4 linked regions of the Arabidopsis thaliana genome follow. The protein of the gene in region 1 interacts with the protein of each later gene in a pairwise test. Each region holds a gene or a part of one and is shown in the gene's direction. Other genes may lie near its edges.

Region 1 (4,408 bases):
TGTTGTGGACATGGGCAGTGATTGTTTTGAGACTGAAGCTTGTAAGCAGATGCTTGTGTATCCGAAGAGTGTGAAAGACCTCCAGTGCAAAAGGCTTAAGCTCAACATAAACCCTACTGAGGACATCAAGTGTTTTAAGTGCTCAAGTTACTGCGGCTTGTACAGTAATTTCAGCACCTCTAAATGTCGTTGCGGAAAATTTATGAACGAGGAGATTCAGTTAGAAAACGAGGAACAAGATTTAGGCCGGTTTCAAGATGATGATAATGGAGTATTTGTCAGCGGTAGGTGTTCATTCGTCTTAACCGATGACTTGGAAGTGTCAGTCAAGTCCACTGAACTTGTCTTGAATAAGCTCAAATCCTTAGGTTGTGCTGATGTTGGTAAGCTCGGTGAAAGGCTTCTTGATATTGGTGTGAAAGAGGTATGTTAGTTAGTTTATTCTTCAAGCGTTTGTGTTATCATTACTTTATTAGTTCTCTCTTACTATATCTGAATCTTGGACTAGGTACTGACTCTGCTGGGATGTATATTCTCCTCAAATGCTCCCTTAAAGGACATTTTCTTGAACAAGAAGATTACACAAGGTGCGACGAAGTTTTACAAATCGCAAAGTCCATGTTTGGAGAAAAAAGAAGATGAAGCAGAACCTGAAAAGGTAGTAACTTTGAAAGCATTTGTGAGGAAGCAGGACATGAAGATTTTATTTGTTGAATGCGGAGAGGAATTTGTTGAGCTTCTTTTCTCTTTTATTGCTGTCCCGCTTGAATCTGCATGGGAAATCTCTGGCAGCAGTATCTCCTTAGGTTGCATAGGAAACATGTGTAGAACCTTCAGGGACTTAAATGAGGAGACTCAAATGTCAACTTCCACATGCGCACTTCCGTCTTTCTATAATTTCCAGATGCAACTGCCTGGTATTATCACTCAACAACCTCCGGTGTACTACCGTTACAGGCTCTACGATTACAGGCAAATGAACTATGGTTTGACTACAAACGGTAATCGAACTACTTATTACCGCAAAGACAGAATCGTTCGGGTGGATTTGAAGGATCCCAAATCCCGTGGCAGCGATAAGTCTGCTCAGGGGTTCTTGAAGAAAGCGACAAAGTGTACTGTATTAGATGATCTGACCATTACATCTATGAACTCCTGCTCCACAGTTTGTTTACTAAAGAAGTTGCAGAGTCACGCAGACGATCTAGAGGTGCAAGTAATTAGTATCAGCAATGCAGAGGTATGTTTCTGTATACCCTTTTTGATCCTGTATTCTTGAAAGGAACTTGACTGACACTTGATTTTGAATTAGGCTTTGGATTTGTTGAGAGCTTCCTTGGTGACATCCTCTGCTTTGAGCACGACATTATGGAATTTGATTGCTAAGAAACTGAAGGAGGAGACTGATTTATGGGACACGGTTTCAAAGAAAGTGAAGGAAGAGACTTGAAGAAATAGAAAGCTAGTGAGAATGAACTCTAAGTCGATTGTTGATTATGTTTTTAGAATTCCGCAAAATCTACATTACATTCCTCATGTTTTCTTCCAAGCCTTATCTTTCTTTGTAAGACTAATCAAATTATTGTTTTATGGAAATTCATCTTAATAGGGTTTTTTAAATGCAGGCAAAAACTTGCACATCTTTTTGAGTTTATAAAGCAACAAGCCTAAAATCTGGAATTTCCTAGTACGATAAGACTGAAATATACAACCATTACCAAAAAAAATGCATCCATATACAAAAGTTTATAATAAGATCCAGTTGGTATATAGTAATTGGGAATGTTGAAGACATATGAAGTGTTGATCAGAAAAAAATAAGACTTGAAGTTAATTAATGGAAACCCTCTTTCTCAGCCAGAAGACTTGAAGGCTTCTATTCTCCTCCGTTGCCCACAAAAACAAAATTTGCTTCGCCGTTTTCGGCTCCGGCGTGATTCTTGAGAAGAACTGAAGTAGAGAGAGAGATCTGAAATCTCAATCTCCGATTTAACTTGGTAACTAGAGAAGCTTTTGATTCCTATTCTTTCTTTTGATTTGTATTTCTTAGGGTTCCGTTCATGTAACTTTTACAGCGACAATGCTTCAAATTCGTCTTCGGAGGGATTCCCCGACGGAAACTGGAAATGGTGCGAGGCCTTCTCCGACGGAGACGGTTACTGTAGCCTGTCCCGACCATCTCGTCCTCGCCGATCTTCCTGTTGCGAAAGGAATCGGTTCCGTGACTCCCACCACCGTAATCAAGCCCGTCGGTCGTCGTTCTCGCCGTCAGCTAGGCGAGAGAGTTCACTTCTGCGTTCGTTGCGATTTTCCGATTGCAATCTATGGTCGTCTGGTAAAAAACTTCGCTTCCTTCATTGGTTTATGGCTATATTGATTTGCCTTAAAGAGTTTTTTTAAGGGGGCTCTTCTTCTATATGTGATTGAAACTTTTTTTGTTTTGTTTTGGTTTTGCAGATTCCTTGTGATCATGCCTTTTGCCTTGAATGTGCTCGCAGTGATTCCATCTGCTATCTGTAACCATCTTTAACTCTCATCGAATTTCATTAGAAGCTTTGATAGAGATACTTTAGATTGTTTGGTAATCTACAGAGACGCAGGATTATCATAGTTTGAACTAGGCTTCGAATTTCATTAGAAGCTTTGATAGAGATATTCTAGATTGTTTAGTAATCTACAGAGACATTTTAAGATTTACTAGGCGTAGCGATTATCAGACTGAAATCTTGTTGTCTCTTGTGTGTGTGATTACTGCACAGATGTGATGAGCGGATTCAGAAGATTCAAACAATCAAGATGATGGAAGGGATCTTCATCTGTGCAGCTCCTCATTGTCTTAGGTCTTTCCTGAAGAAACTTGACTTTGAAGCCCATGTCCATGACCTCCATGGAAGCCTATTACAAGCCGATGCAGAGAAAGAAGATGGTAACCAGTCAGATGTTCAGAGCACAATGCAGCAGTCTTCAGCTTCAGAATCCACCTTGCGAGCTCCTTTAAGATCCCAGCTGCAACAATCCCGTGAACTAAACAGGTCGGCGTCATTTGCAAAGTCACAGTCTGGATTTAGTCAAGTCCAGAATTACCCTCCAGATAGCGATAACTCTCGCCCTCCTGGATTCGAAACCGCTAGTCCTAAACCAGGAATCCGGTTCCCAGACTACCCCCAGCCTATGAATCTTATGCAACCGCCCAGCTTGCCCGTTCCAATGAATCAAAACCCGGGTTTACCACAGCAGTTTGGTTTTCCTTCGTATCCAACAACAGAGAGTGGATCATCTCAACAATTCTTTAACGGTGCTCAGTACGAGATGACAAGAACAGAGAGCGGCGGATCAGAACAAAGTTCATTGCTCGGGTATCCCCCGCCTTCACCAATGACGAATCTGAATTTCCAAGGATCGTATCCTCCTCCATCATGGAATCCCGGAATGGCACCGCCTCACACGACCCAGCAGGTTAACCGGGGTAGAGACGGTCAAAGTTTTGGGTGGCCACAAGAGAACCGTGATGGCTTTGGGCAGGAGTAAGAGTAGTCTAGTTTGAATTTGTGCAATGTTAAACTCGTCGTTTGAAAGTTTCAAGTACTTTTGTTTCTAAAAACTGTGTCGTTTGTTGTTGGTCTAACATGTAATTCGAGTAAACCCAATTTCAACCGAGCCAAAACCGTGCCAAAAATTCCATCGGAAAAACCAAACTGATTTGGGTTGAACCAAAGGTTTTACACCATTTTATAGGAACAACCATCGTAGATTGCACCCACTGTGTCACTGTGATAAAGAAAGAACTAAGATTGATATTTTGGTTTTTAGCTCTTTTTCTTTACTGTTTTGGGAGGATGATGATGATGGTTATTATATGAGTTGAGATTTTTTCTAAACACCGCCGATGATCTCACTAATCTTAGGCACAGCTATGCTTACAGACAATATTTCACAGTCTCTTTATTGGGATTCCTTCACTCTACATATGTATTCACTATTCAGCACCAAGTTCAAATTTCTGTAAGCATTTATTCTCTAGCATAAACACACACGAAAATATACTATTAGCTAGTTAAGTATAAAATTATCAAATAACTTATTCATATTTGTTAGTTTTAAACTAGAAATCATGTGAATTGAACTGAACCAGTTATTGATAAGTGTGTGGCTATGAGAAATTTCGTTTCAAATGGATTCTCCAATTATGAACCATAATGATACATAACAATATTTGCAAGACACCATTATTTCACATTATGAGAATAGAAGAAAACTGAGATCTAAGACACTTTTTCCCATGTTTTCTATGAATTATTACGATCCCCATATAAATTTTCAAAATGTAAAAGCTATAATCATTGTCGTAATTTTCATGATTAATCACACCAATCATTATGACCAACCAAAGAGAATGTAAATGTAGGAT
Region 2 (2,828 bases), 1.5 Mb from region 1:
GATTGCACTAGAGATTTTACCTCTAATTACAAGAGAGATTTAAAAGGCAAAGAGAAAATCTGAAAGCCGTGGTTAAGTTATTCATTAAGACAATCCATCAAAGAAACCATGAGTTTCAGTTGCGAAAGTGTGTTGGACAGCCTCAGGTACCAGTTGCGATTTACGAAATGTGTTGAAAGTGTGTTATAGTCCCCTTTTTCCTTCTCAGGTAGCTAATAACCAATCAATATCTTTGCTTTTGAAGGAAAGACAGGTCGTCGCACCATCCAATCTACGTGCTTCAGATCTTCTCTGGTGACGGATTCGTGCTCCTTCTCAATCCTCATCAACTTGTTTAACGTGTGCGCTATTCCCTCCGGCTCAGTGAGAGATTGCAGTTTCTCGAACATGCATGATTCTCTTCTTCTCCATCCTCCTATTTTCCACTTTTGTCTTCGCAAGTACATCAACCCTGATCGATGTCGGAGCATACTCCGTTGTACAGACCCTTTTCAAGAGATGGCTACTAGAACCAATGATACGGCGGAAGTTCATCGTCAATCCAAGCTCTCAAAGTTCACTAACCCTAATTATAATACATATAGCTTTCTTCTTATCTCCAATTAATGTGCTATTTATAAAAATGTTTACAAAGTTTATAAACCTTGATTACATAGATGTTCAATATCATAAGTTTAATCCAATCTGTATATTTTAATGCTGAAAAGATAGCTAAGAAACTATATAGATTTTAATTTGGTATGTTAGAGTTGAATATCTTGTTTAAACCTTGACTATACATAGATGTTCATTATCTTAAGTTTAATCCAATCTGTCATACTAAGCCATGTATATCACAAGAAAGTCTGAAAATGTGCTATATGTCATAGTAAAATTATTAAGTTAATGCTTTTTTGATGTGAGAATCAGCATTATAGATTTGATGGTAAAATGCTTCCATCAGTTTCTCTACTCTTATTAAAAGGTAGCCAAATTTAGTTTAATTACTTACTTTTAATATATATTTTCATTATGTTGATATGAAAATAATTTTATTTTTATTACCTCCAAAGTGATGTATATGAAAATAAATAAAATTGCAAGCAATGGAAAACAATAGAAAACTTAAAGGTAAATATTTTATTTAAGAGTTGAGATAATTATGTACTAAAAGTTTACTACATAATGACACTAATTAAATCTTTAATTCTTGTTTTCTAAAGTTGACTACATTAAGATCTACTAATTAACTCTTTAAACTCTTCTAAATAATTTTGTTTTCAACTATATCTCAAATTTAATAGGGCAAAACCAAAATCTCCCTACTCACTTTGGAAATCAGTAATGTTTGGAACTAATTTTGACTAAATATGCTAAATGCAACAAGTATTAATTCAGAAACAAATTTACTACGCAAATTCGGCAAATGTAAAATGTCAAATATATATAGTAATTAAACATGTTATGTGTGAGTTGTCGAAATGATAAACTAGTTTGTTAAGTACTTCAGTTAGTCTTTGTTCTTCATCATGTTTCTCTATAACTAAGTCCCTTTCCATATTTCATCAATATGCATTTATCTTATTCAAACATCATAACATTACAACATATAACTTTCCTTGATATTAAAAGTGCATACAAAGTATTAAATCTTTAAATACCTATCCGGGTGCAATAACATATTCAAGCCATCAAACCTAATTTCTAAAAGCCCGATCCGATCGACAACGAAATGTTGTCCTCGGACTCGAATTACGCTAGTGATATTAGCGACGATGCCTCCGCCACCGGATCGATAGAGAATCCTATATACAAATGCAAGTATTGTCCTAGGAAGTTCGATAAAACACAAGCATTAGGTGGTCATCAAAATGCACACAGAAAGGAGAGAGAGGTCGAAAAACAACAAAAAGCATTTTTGGCGCATTTGAACCGACCAGAACCAGATCTTTACGCGTACTCGTATTCGTATCATCATTCATTTCCTAACCAATACGCACTCCCACCGGGATTTGAACAGCCTCAGTACAAAGTTGATAGATCATACAAGATGTCCATGGTCTACAACCAATATGTGGGATCCTCAAGCTCTAGCTTTGCAGGACTACAAAGTGACCCAAGTCAAGGAATGAACCAGGATTGGACCTTTACCGGGATCCCATTCCTACCCCAATCTCAACCTCAACCACTATCGTCACCAATATGTTTGGATCTTTGCCTTGGCATTGGTAGCTCCCAAACCCAACCACAACCTCAAGAACCAAATGATGCAACAGAAGAGATGGATGCTGAGAAAGAAAATGATGGTTCTTCCCTTTCTCTCTCACTCAAACTGTGAAATTGTAATCTTTCCCTTTTAAGTATTTCTTAAACTTTCATTCCTCACCTTTGTTTTCTTGCATAGTATTATCGGCTTGTGTCAAATCAGTACTTGTGCACTTGAACATTGTAATAAACTTGGTTGTTATTTGCATTTGAATTTCATATAATAATAAAAACTTGATATTGTTCTGACTTTGGGGTGTCAAATTCTATTTATAAGAATTTGAGATGCAAATCTCAATTTTAGTTACTTTATGATACCAATATAAAAAAAAAAACCACTCTTTCGAAAGGATGCGGGTTTTGAAATACTTTCGAGCTCCTTCTTCTCTCCGTCATCGTTCCTCTCCCATGGCTCAGTTTCTTCGACGCTTCTCTTCCTCTCCCATGGCGAACGAAGACGAATTCCAATCTCCGGTGGAACCATCACAGCAGCAATCTCAGGACTGTGTTTCGGAGTCTTATCTGATAGGGTTTGTTATCGCGAACATAGTAGGGTTAAAGTACTATTCCGGCCGAATCAACGG
Region 3 (4,299 bases), on another chromosome or scaffold:
TCTGTTTATTTCAAAAGATGCGTTTTTCTTACTTTTTACAACATGAAATCTTTTATTTTAAGGAAATTATAGTAACTAACCGTAGAATACAAAAGAATGAAAAAACTAACTATGGAGCAACGGGTCAGAGACAATTTTTATACATTTTTCATTTATATAACAATAACTCATTTATCATTAAATCATTTTTATAACAATAACTAGTAACCATAAAAAATATAAATACTTCTTGGATGTTAAGAAAAAAAAACAATTCTTCTTTTGACGAAAAAGACTTCTTAGGAAAGTTGTATACCTTTAAAATACATGCAAGTTATATGAAAGTTTATAAAATTCACAACTCTTCTTTATTTTAAAACCCAAAAAAAAAAAAAAAAAAAAAGTCCTCTTATTTATACGTCTAATTCCCATGCATATATCGAGAATAACCCATCATATAGGAATTAGGCTCCCATCATGTGATCATGATTCATGAGTCATGACCATTGGATCTCCCCTCATTATTGTTCCATCAGAAATTTCTACGTCGATGATATGTTTCTAATTCTAATTTTTTTTACAGCAATTTCTAATTCTAATTAAGAACTCTCCCATATACAAATTGATATAGATATCTTTTAGTAAGTTAGTAACAACACTTAATTAAACATAGATAAATATACGTGCACAGATCAATTCTCCAGTTTAAGGAAAGAAATTGGATAGATGTATTTAAATACTTTTGTATAAATAATATAACTATCTCCAATACAACACACCGAATCAAATGTCAACATCTACATACATGTCGACATGAATTTATGAACATATATGTACAAGGTGATGGGGAACCCACAAATTAGGTGTGTGGCTTTACTTTTTTTAGTGTATGCATGTATAGTATGATAGGGAGGGAAATAGCTGATCATCATCTTCTATGGACTTAGTCCAAATTCATCACATCAAAAGGCAACGACCATGTCTTTGTTTCTAACAACTTTACACCCTCCCCTTTCCTTATCTACTAACTCCATGTATCTGCTTTAAAGGTTAATATATAACTGGACTAAGCAAAATAAAAGAGAGTTGGGTTTTCATTATAGAATCGAGAAGATTTCATGTCCCTATATCAATCACATAAAGCGTTTTCCAATAACATAAAAAGTCGGATAAATGAAAATATTTGAGAATCTAAAACAATGTCATATATACTTTAATGGAAGGTCCTTTTCTTCGAAATATTTGCTCACCGAAATCGGTGAAAGTGATCTAAGACTAAAACTAACTTGTGAGTAATTCATGTGATGGGCCTTCTGCATCGAAAAAGAGCATGGCGATCACGTGGCAGCCTCTCTTGCGCCGTCTCAGTATTAGCCTATCACGATAGAGTAAGCCAATGTATACAGCATGGCGATCAGACACATGATGATGATCGATCTGAATAACAAGATTCCGAAGGATGTAATAAATTCATGTGAACAGTGCTTCGTAGCTAAACTAAGACCAGAGCTATTGAAATGAGGTAAAGTGTTTTCTTTGTAACCCCATTTTAATTAGGTGAAATATCTAGCGCACACACCAATCTGATTCATATAATCATAACTAGCTTGTAAACTACAAAATTATTTTTCATTGTGTTACAACTAGACCATTCCCACGTGACCATTCACGTGCTCCTATAATGAAAGAAACCTAAAGAAGAGACGCTCCAATTCGCATAGACATCCCAAGCTTATCCTTTCTTAGTGAATCAAGATCCAATTTACACTATAATACATGCATATATTACGTAATAAATGTTTTATAAGTTTTCTGTGTCACTCACTATTTTTAGTTATTTTCTCAATTTTCAATCATCGCAAATATCAATTATCACAAAACATATAAAGTTTCCAGATTTGTATATGGGCCTACCTTATTAGATGCGATGAATATGGACTAAGTACAGAGCTGATGGTTTTTGTTATAAATATCGTTTCCTCTTCTACCCTCACCTTTACTCTGTTTCTTTCTCCACTCTCTCTCTCTCTCGTTGCAAGCAACTTGTTTTCTGAATCCAAAGAAGACGATAACGATGAATGGAGCTATAGGAGGTGACCTTTTGCTCAATTTTCCTGACATGTCGGTCCTAGAGCGCCAAAGGGCTCACCTCAAGTACCTCAATCCCACCTTTGATTCTCCTCTCGCCGGCTTCTTTGCCGATTCTTCAATGATTACCGGCGGCGAGATGGACAGCTATCTTTCGACTGCCGGTTTGAATCTTCCGATGATGTACGGTGAGACGACGGTGGAAGGTGATTCAAGACTCTCAATTTCGCCGGAAACGACGCTTGGGACTGGAAATTTCAAGAAACGGAAGTTTGATACAGAGACTAAGGTTCGTGTGTAAAGAAAACTTAAGTTTAAGTTCTATAAATGAAAAAGAAAACAGATCTTACTTTGAGATTTGGCTTATCTGTTTCTTCTGTGTGTGCTTTTAGGATTGTAATGAGAAGAAGAAGAAGATGACGATGAACAGAGATGACCTAGTAGAAGAAGGAGAAGAAGAGAAGTCGAAAATAACAGAGCAAAACAATGGGAGCACAAAAAGCATCAAGAAGATGAAACACAAAGCCAAGAAAGAAGAGAACAATTTCTCTAATGATTCATCTAAAGTGACGAAGGAATTGGAGAAAACGGATTATATTCATGTTCGTGCACGACGAGGCCAAGCCACTGATAGTCACAGCATAGCAGAACGAGTAAGAGAGCCTCATTAACTAAAATTCATTAACTTTGTTTTTTGTGTAATCATTGAGACTAATTATTAAAGTATTAAATTTGTGAAGGTTAGAAGAGAAAAGATCAGTGAGAGAATGAAGTTTCTACAAGATTTGGTTCCTGGATGCGACAAGATCACAGGCAAAGCAGGGATGCTTGATGAAATCATTAACTATGTTCAGTCTCTTCAGAGACAAATCGAGGTCTGAAAATTATTTCCATTTATAGAAAATATGTTTTAAAGACTAATTTTGCATTACCTTCCTAATTTGTTATCAAAATATTGTTTAAAACAGTTCTTATCGATGAAACTAGCAATTGTGAATCCAAGGCCGGATTTTGATATGGATGACATTTTTGCCAAAGAGGTTAGTCATTGATTTGTTTATGCTTATATGAAAAACAAAACTTTAAAGGCTATTTATAGATGAGCTAAAATACGCCATGTGGATTCAAAACCAGGTTGCCTCAACTCCAATGACTGTGGTGCCATCTCCTGAAATGGTTCTTTCCGGTTATTCTCATGAGATGGTTCACTCTGGTTATTCTAGTGAGATGGTTAACTCCGGTTACCTTCATGTCAATCCAATGCAGCAAGTGAATACCAGTTCTGATCCATTGTCATGCTTCAACGTAAGTCATATTTTTAATACTCTTTCATTATGATCTATCCTTTAGTTTAACTTTGGATATGATAATTTTTTACTAAATATGTTTTGATTGTTACAGAATGGCGAAGCTCCTTCGATGTGGGACTCTCATGTGCAGAATCTCTATGGCAATTTAGGAGTTTGATTAAGAAACCAATCCACAACATAACAATGTTCCCTAATTCAAATTATTCATCGGAAGAGAGAGCAAACCAGTAGCTGTTATTTACTAATTCCACTAGATTATTGACTTGAGATCCCCCGCCCATTAGTTGATGTATCAAAGAGTGTAGACATTATTGTGTATAATTTGCAAACCAGTCCAGTAATATATTTCTTATCGGTGGACTTGTGTCTTTAATTCAAGGTGTGTTCTCATCTTCTTGTGGTGAATGATCATCCATTAGTATTTTTTTTTTTAGTATACAATGCCACAAGTCATGCGACCATGAAATCAAGAAACAAGACACCAGTCGTTTAACGTTATGTTTTACATCTTATCACTAACAATCTTCTAATCTATGTTTTGGTTACTTTGAAAAAGCGGGACTAATCCCAAATTTAAAGCAATTGAATAAACAACACCTGTTAAGCGTGGCGGACAAAACGACGACAATGTAAGAGAACTGAGTCAGAGATTAAAACCTATGACCAACCCATTGGAACTAAACTATCCTAATTCTCTATACGGAGAGTATATATAAATGGAGGAGGAGAAGAAGAAGAGCAGAGTTTTGATCATCGGAGCAACAGGAAGATTAGGGAACTATTTGACCCGTTTCAGCATCGAATCGGGTCACCCGACTTTCGCTCTCATCAGAAACACCACTCTCTCCGATAAGCTGAAATCTCTCTCCGACGCCGGCGTTACCCTCCTCAAAGTCTCTCTCTTTGCAATATCTCTGTAATT
Region 4 (3,603 bases), on another chromosome or scaffold:
GGATGAGTGACACAAGGGTTATGGAGAACGGTAAGTATTTCTACGACACAAGAGGTAGGAATTCAGAAAACACCCCTAGTCGCGGGTATGAGAATGCTCGAGGAAATGATCATACCAACGAGTTTGAAACTATGGAGGAATACTACAAGAGCTTGGAGGGTAGTCAAGAAGAGTATGAGCCTTAGAAGGAAATTGTATTTGAGAAAACAAAACACTTTTTTGGAGCAATTAATTATATTGTGCAATCTCCATTTACTTGTCTTTTATGAAAAGTGAAAGTAAAAACACTTTTAAGTTATACAAATCAAAGCTGTGAGTTATATTATGTTTATGCTAAAATTTTTTAACGTTTATCTTAATCTCAATTTATGACCATGATTAATACCAGCGACGAGTATGTGTTAAAAATAGAATCAAAAGACCAATAATACCAATTTAAGAGAACTATGCAAGACCAAAACTACACCATCATAATCTCAAAAGTAATCATAACTGAATATAATCTCAGTGACCTAGAGAGTTCTCTGAAAATTTAAATTAAATAATAACGAAGAGAAGTAGAGACAGACACCGGTTGTAGTCATTAAGCAGTAATTACTTCATACTCGACCAGAGAGAGATTGTTGGCCCGGTTAACCTCGAACGAAACAGGACCGGTTATTTCAATGCGTCCCCATCTGTCAACAGCCATTCTCATAGTGTCCTTGAACAAGTCGATCTTCGCATTCCTCAGTATAACTGTTGCTCCAGTCTTCATTAGATCAACTGCATTTGCAACCCCAAAAGAACATCATTAATTAGTACCATACATATTCTCACATATTGAATAGGAAGTTGTATAAATGTCAAACACAAACACACTAATCAAAGCTTAGAGATTAATGAAGTGGAACATATTGAACACTAATCAAAGCTTAGACATATATAAATAGATATACTCTGTTCATCAATAAACTAAACTATAAGCAAAATTATCTATAAAAAAAGTTAAACTTTATCAAAATCTCTGAAGTATAAATGTTTTAGATCTTCACAAACATAGAGATTCCAATCAAGGCATATATAAACCTAGAAACAGAGAAATTATGGAAAGATTGAACGCAATTTCGAGTGAAAACGATAGAGAAACGATTACGAAACCCTAACCAAGAGAACTTATATATGTAAATAATTAAGATCCTTACCTTGGTCGTTGCGAGCGGTGAAAAGAATGCATCCAGTATCGTCACCAATTAGGCACTCAGCGATACGAGGAGATGAAATTGGCTGCTGCGTCAACGAACTTTTACGAATCGCCGGTTTAACGGGATTCGATTCAAGGACTTTGACGATCAGAGTATGGCCGCTGGTTCCTGGTTTGAGCTGATCCACCTTCACAAACACTGGTTTACGCTTCGGCGCAGTCGTCGCGTTAGTATTCGCCGTCGTCGACATAGTGTCGTAATTTGAATCTCCTTAGGGTTTTTCAAAATAATTGACAACTTTGACGTGATGAAGAGTCGCGCTGGTAGATTAGGGTTTAGATTCTTCACAATGGTATTTAAATGAGAAAATTAGAAACAAATCTTACTCTGGATTATTATCTAAATTACTGGATTATAAATTACCACTAATTCATTTTTTGCGATTTTTAAAACGGTATACATTTTATTGGCGCGTTCAAAATTTGAAACTTAAACTCATTATATTTTCATATTATGCTTAATATTAGTCGAATTTTCTTTTTTTGACATCCAATATTAGTCTAAGCAGATTGTGGAGTAATAATAAATCATCAAATTTTGTTATAATGTAGCAATGTATCATCTACTCAATTTTTATGTATTATAACTTTTGTATCAAAGAATACAATTTTAGATTCATCAAGCTTTCTCGAAGTATATATTCGACATGGATAATTTCTAAGTACTTGTTTATCAGATTCTCAGATAAAATATGAAAAAGCCCAAAGATAATAACCTGTTAAAGCCCAAGCAACAAATGGCGCAAAACTGCGAGACGCAAGAACGGGGACGTTTAGGTTAAAACATAAAAAGGCGTCATAAAACTGTTTTCTCTTTAAGGCGGCGCGTCAGTCAATCCACGTGGACATTTCTTTCCACATTTTTGTCACTTTGTCCTTTTGTGGGATTACGTCACTTCTATAAAACAATAGTTTTGTCCTTTATCTAAATTATTCTCCCCCAACCAAAATATGACCACAGAAAAAGAGAATGTCACTACGGCCGTGGCCGTGAAAGACGGCGGAGAAAAGAGTAAGGAAGTGAGTGACAAGGGCGTAAAGAAGAGAAAGAATGTAACTAAGGCCCTGGCCGTGAATGACGGCGGAGAAAAGAGTAAGGAAGTGCGTTACAGGGGTGTAAGGAGGAGACCATGGGGGAGATATGCTGCGGAGATCCGTGATCCGGTAAAGAAAAAACGGGTCTGGCTCGGGTCCTTCAACACGGGGGAGGAAGCCGCCAGAGCCTACGACTCCGCTGCCATAAGGTTTCGAGGATCGAAAGCTACTACTAACTTCCCTCTAATCGGATACTATGGGATTTCTTCGGCGACGCCGGTGAACAACAACCTTTCCGAGACGGTGAGTGATGGAAATGCCAACCTCCCTCTCGTTGGAGACGATGGGAATGCTTTGGCTTCTCCGGTGAACAACACCCTTTCCGAAACGGCGCGTGATGGAACACTTCCATCGGATTGTCACGACATGTTATCTCCGGGGGTGGCTGAAGCGGTTGCTGGATTTTTCTTAGATCTGCCTGAAGTTATTGCGTTGAAAGAGGAGCTTGATCGAGTTTGTCCTGACCAGTTTGAGTCCATTGATATGGGGTTGACTATTGGTCCTCAAACCGCCGTGGAAGAGCCTGAGACTTCCTCCGCCGTGGATTGTAAGCTGCGAATGGAACCGGATCTTGACCTCAACGCAAGTCCCTAAAGATTGATCTGATGTTGTTGTCCTTGAATAAGTTTGTTATCTTGTCGCTCTTCTGATTGTCTGTACTTCTATTGGTTGATTCGTGCTTTTGGAGGACAAAACAAACATTTTTTTATGTATTAAAAAAAGGTAATTGAACTATTATCGTATCATAACCTAGCCAATGGATTTCGTGTTGACGTGGGGGATAAAGAAGTATTGGTGTCAGGTGGGTCGCACGTGTGTTTTTCGCCGTCCACAGTGACACGTGGAATACAACTTATCTCACTACTTACCTTTTTTACTCACGCGCTCTCTTTTACGGTGATATACACTAGCTCCTTGAATTAGTTATAACTTATAAGAGCAAAGGTAAATATCAAATGAGAGAAAGAAAAACATCTGTGACAATGATTGTATTTAATACCCCAGTAACAAACTGATCCAAAATCAAGATTCTCTTGATAAACAGAAATATGTATGTTTCATCACTTTGTTTATAGCAATGAGTATAGAGTCCACCAAAAGGAGTATATATGTTCATAGATCCCATACATGCATGTATGTGCTCATATATTATAATATTATGTAGTCAACACGTCTCGATATGTACATCTGTCGATGACATACACATGCCTCATATGAAAGCTACTAGCTTTCGTGTGGTGTCCAAAGAAGAACAATTGGAGAAC

Evidence for each region.
Region 2: the proteins of AT5G01160 (region 1) and AT5G05120 interact in a two-hybrid assay, tested with the Arabidopsis thaliana proteins (one large-scale study listed by BioGRID).
Region 3: the proteins of AT5G01160 (region 1) and CIB1 interact in a two-hybrid assay, tested with the Arabidopsis thaliana proteins (one large-scale study listed by BioGRID).
Region 4: the proteins of AT5G01160 (region 1) and ERF10 interact in a two-hybrid assay, tested with the Arabidopsis thaliana proteins (one large-scale study listed by BioGRID).

Annotation. Positions count from the first base shown.
Region 1 is NC_003076.8:52,200-56,607, forward strand, and holds AT5G01160 (RING/U-box superfamily protein), read left to right. Parts: upstream 1-1,656; 5' UTR 1,657-1,997; exon of another isoform or gene 1,998-2,075; 5' UTR 2,076-2,080; coding exon 2,081-2,335; intron 2,336-2,457; coding exon 2,458-2,516; intron 2,517-2,759; coding exon 2,760-3,528; 3' UTR 3,529-3,853; downstream 3,854-4,408. Other genes in the region: AT5G01150 (hypothetical protein (DUF674)), read left to right, coding at 1-424, 509-1,240, 1,313-1,450. UniProt on the Arabidopsis thaliana protein: Probable E3 ubiquitin-protein ligase which is a subunit of the N6-methyltransferase complex, a multiprotein complex that mediates N6-methyladenosine (m6A) methylation at the 5'-[AG]GAC-3' consensus sites of some mRNAs.
Region 2 is NC_003076.8:1,509,521-1,512,348, forward strand, and holds AT5G05120 (C2H2 and C2HC zinc fingers superfamily protein), read left to right. Parts: upstream 1-1,711; coding exon 1,712-2,317; downstream 2,318-2,828. Other genes in the region: AT5G05113 (uncharacterized protein), read right to left, coding at 213-470; AT5G05130 (DNA/RNA helicase protein), read left to right, coding at 2,596-2,828.
Region 3 is NC_003075.7:16,496,413-16,500,711, forward strand, and holds CIB1 (cryptochrome-interacting basic-helix-loop-helix 1), read left to right. Parts: upstream 1-1,978; 5' UTR 1,979-2,053; coding exon 2,054-2,356; intron 2,357-2,459; coding exon 2,460-2,720; intron 2,721-2,807; coding exon 2,808-2,942; intron 2,943-3,035; coding exon 3,036-3,107; intron 3,108-3,201; coding exon 3,202-3,372; intron 3,373-3,468; coding exon 3,469-3,534; 3' UTR 3,535-3,762; downstream 3,763-4,299. Other genes in the region: AT4G34540 (NmrA-like negative transcriptional regulator family protein), read left to right, coding at 4,094-4,270. UniProt on the Arabidopsis thaliana protein: Transcription factor that binds DNA to G box 5'-CACGTG-3' and, to a lower extent, to E-box 5'-CANNTG-3' in vitro. Binds to chromatin DNA of the FT gene and promotes its expression, and thus triggers flowering in response to blue light.
Region 4 is NC_003070.9:956,590-960,192, reverse strand, and holds ERF10 (ERF domain protein 10), read left to right. Parts: upstream 1-1,809; 5' UTR 1,810-2,194; coding exon 2,195-2,932; 3' UTR 2,933-3,089; downstream 3,090-3,603. Other genes in the region: AT1G03820 (E6-like protein), read left to right, coding at 1-185; AT1G03810 (Nucleic acid-binding, OB-fold-like protein), read right to left, coding at 584-765, 1,185-1,434.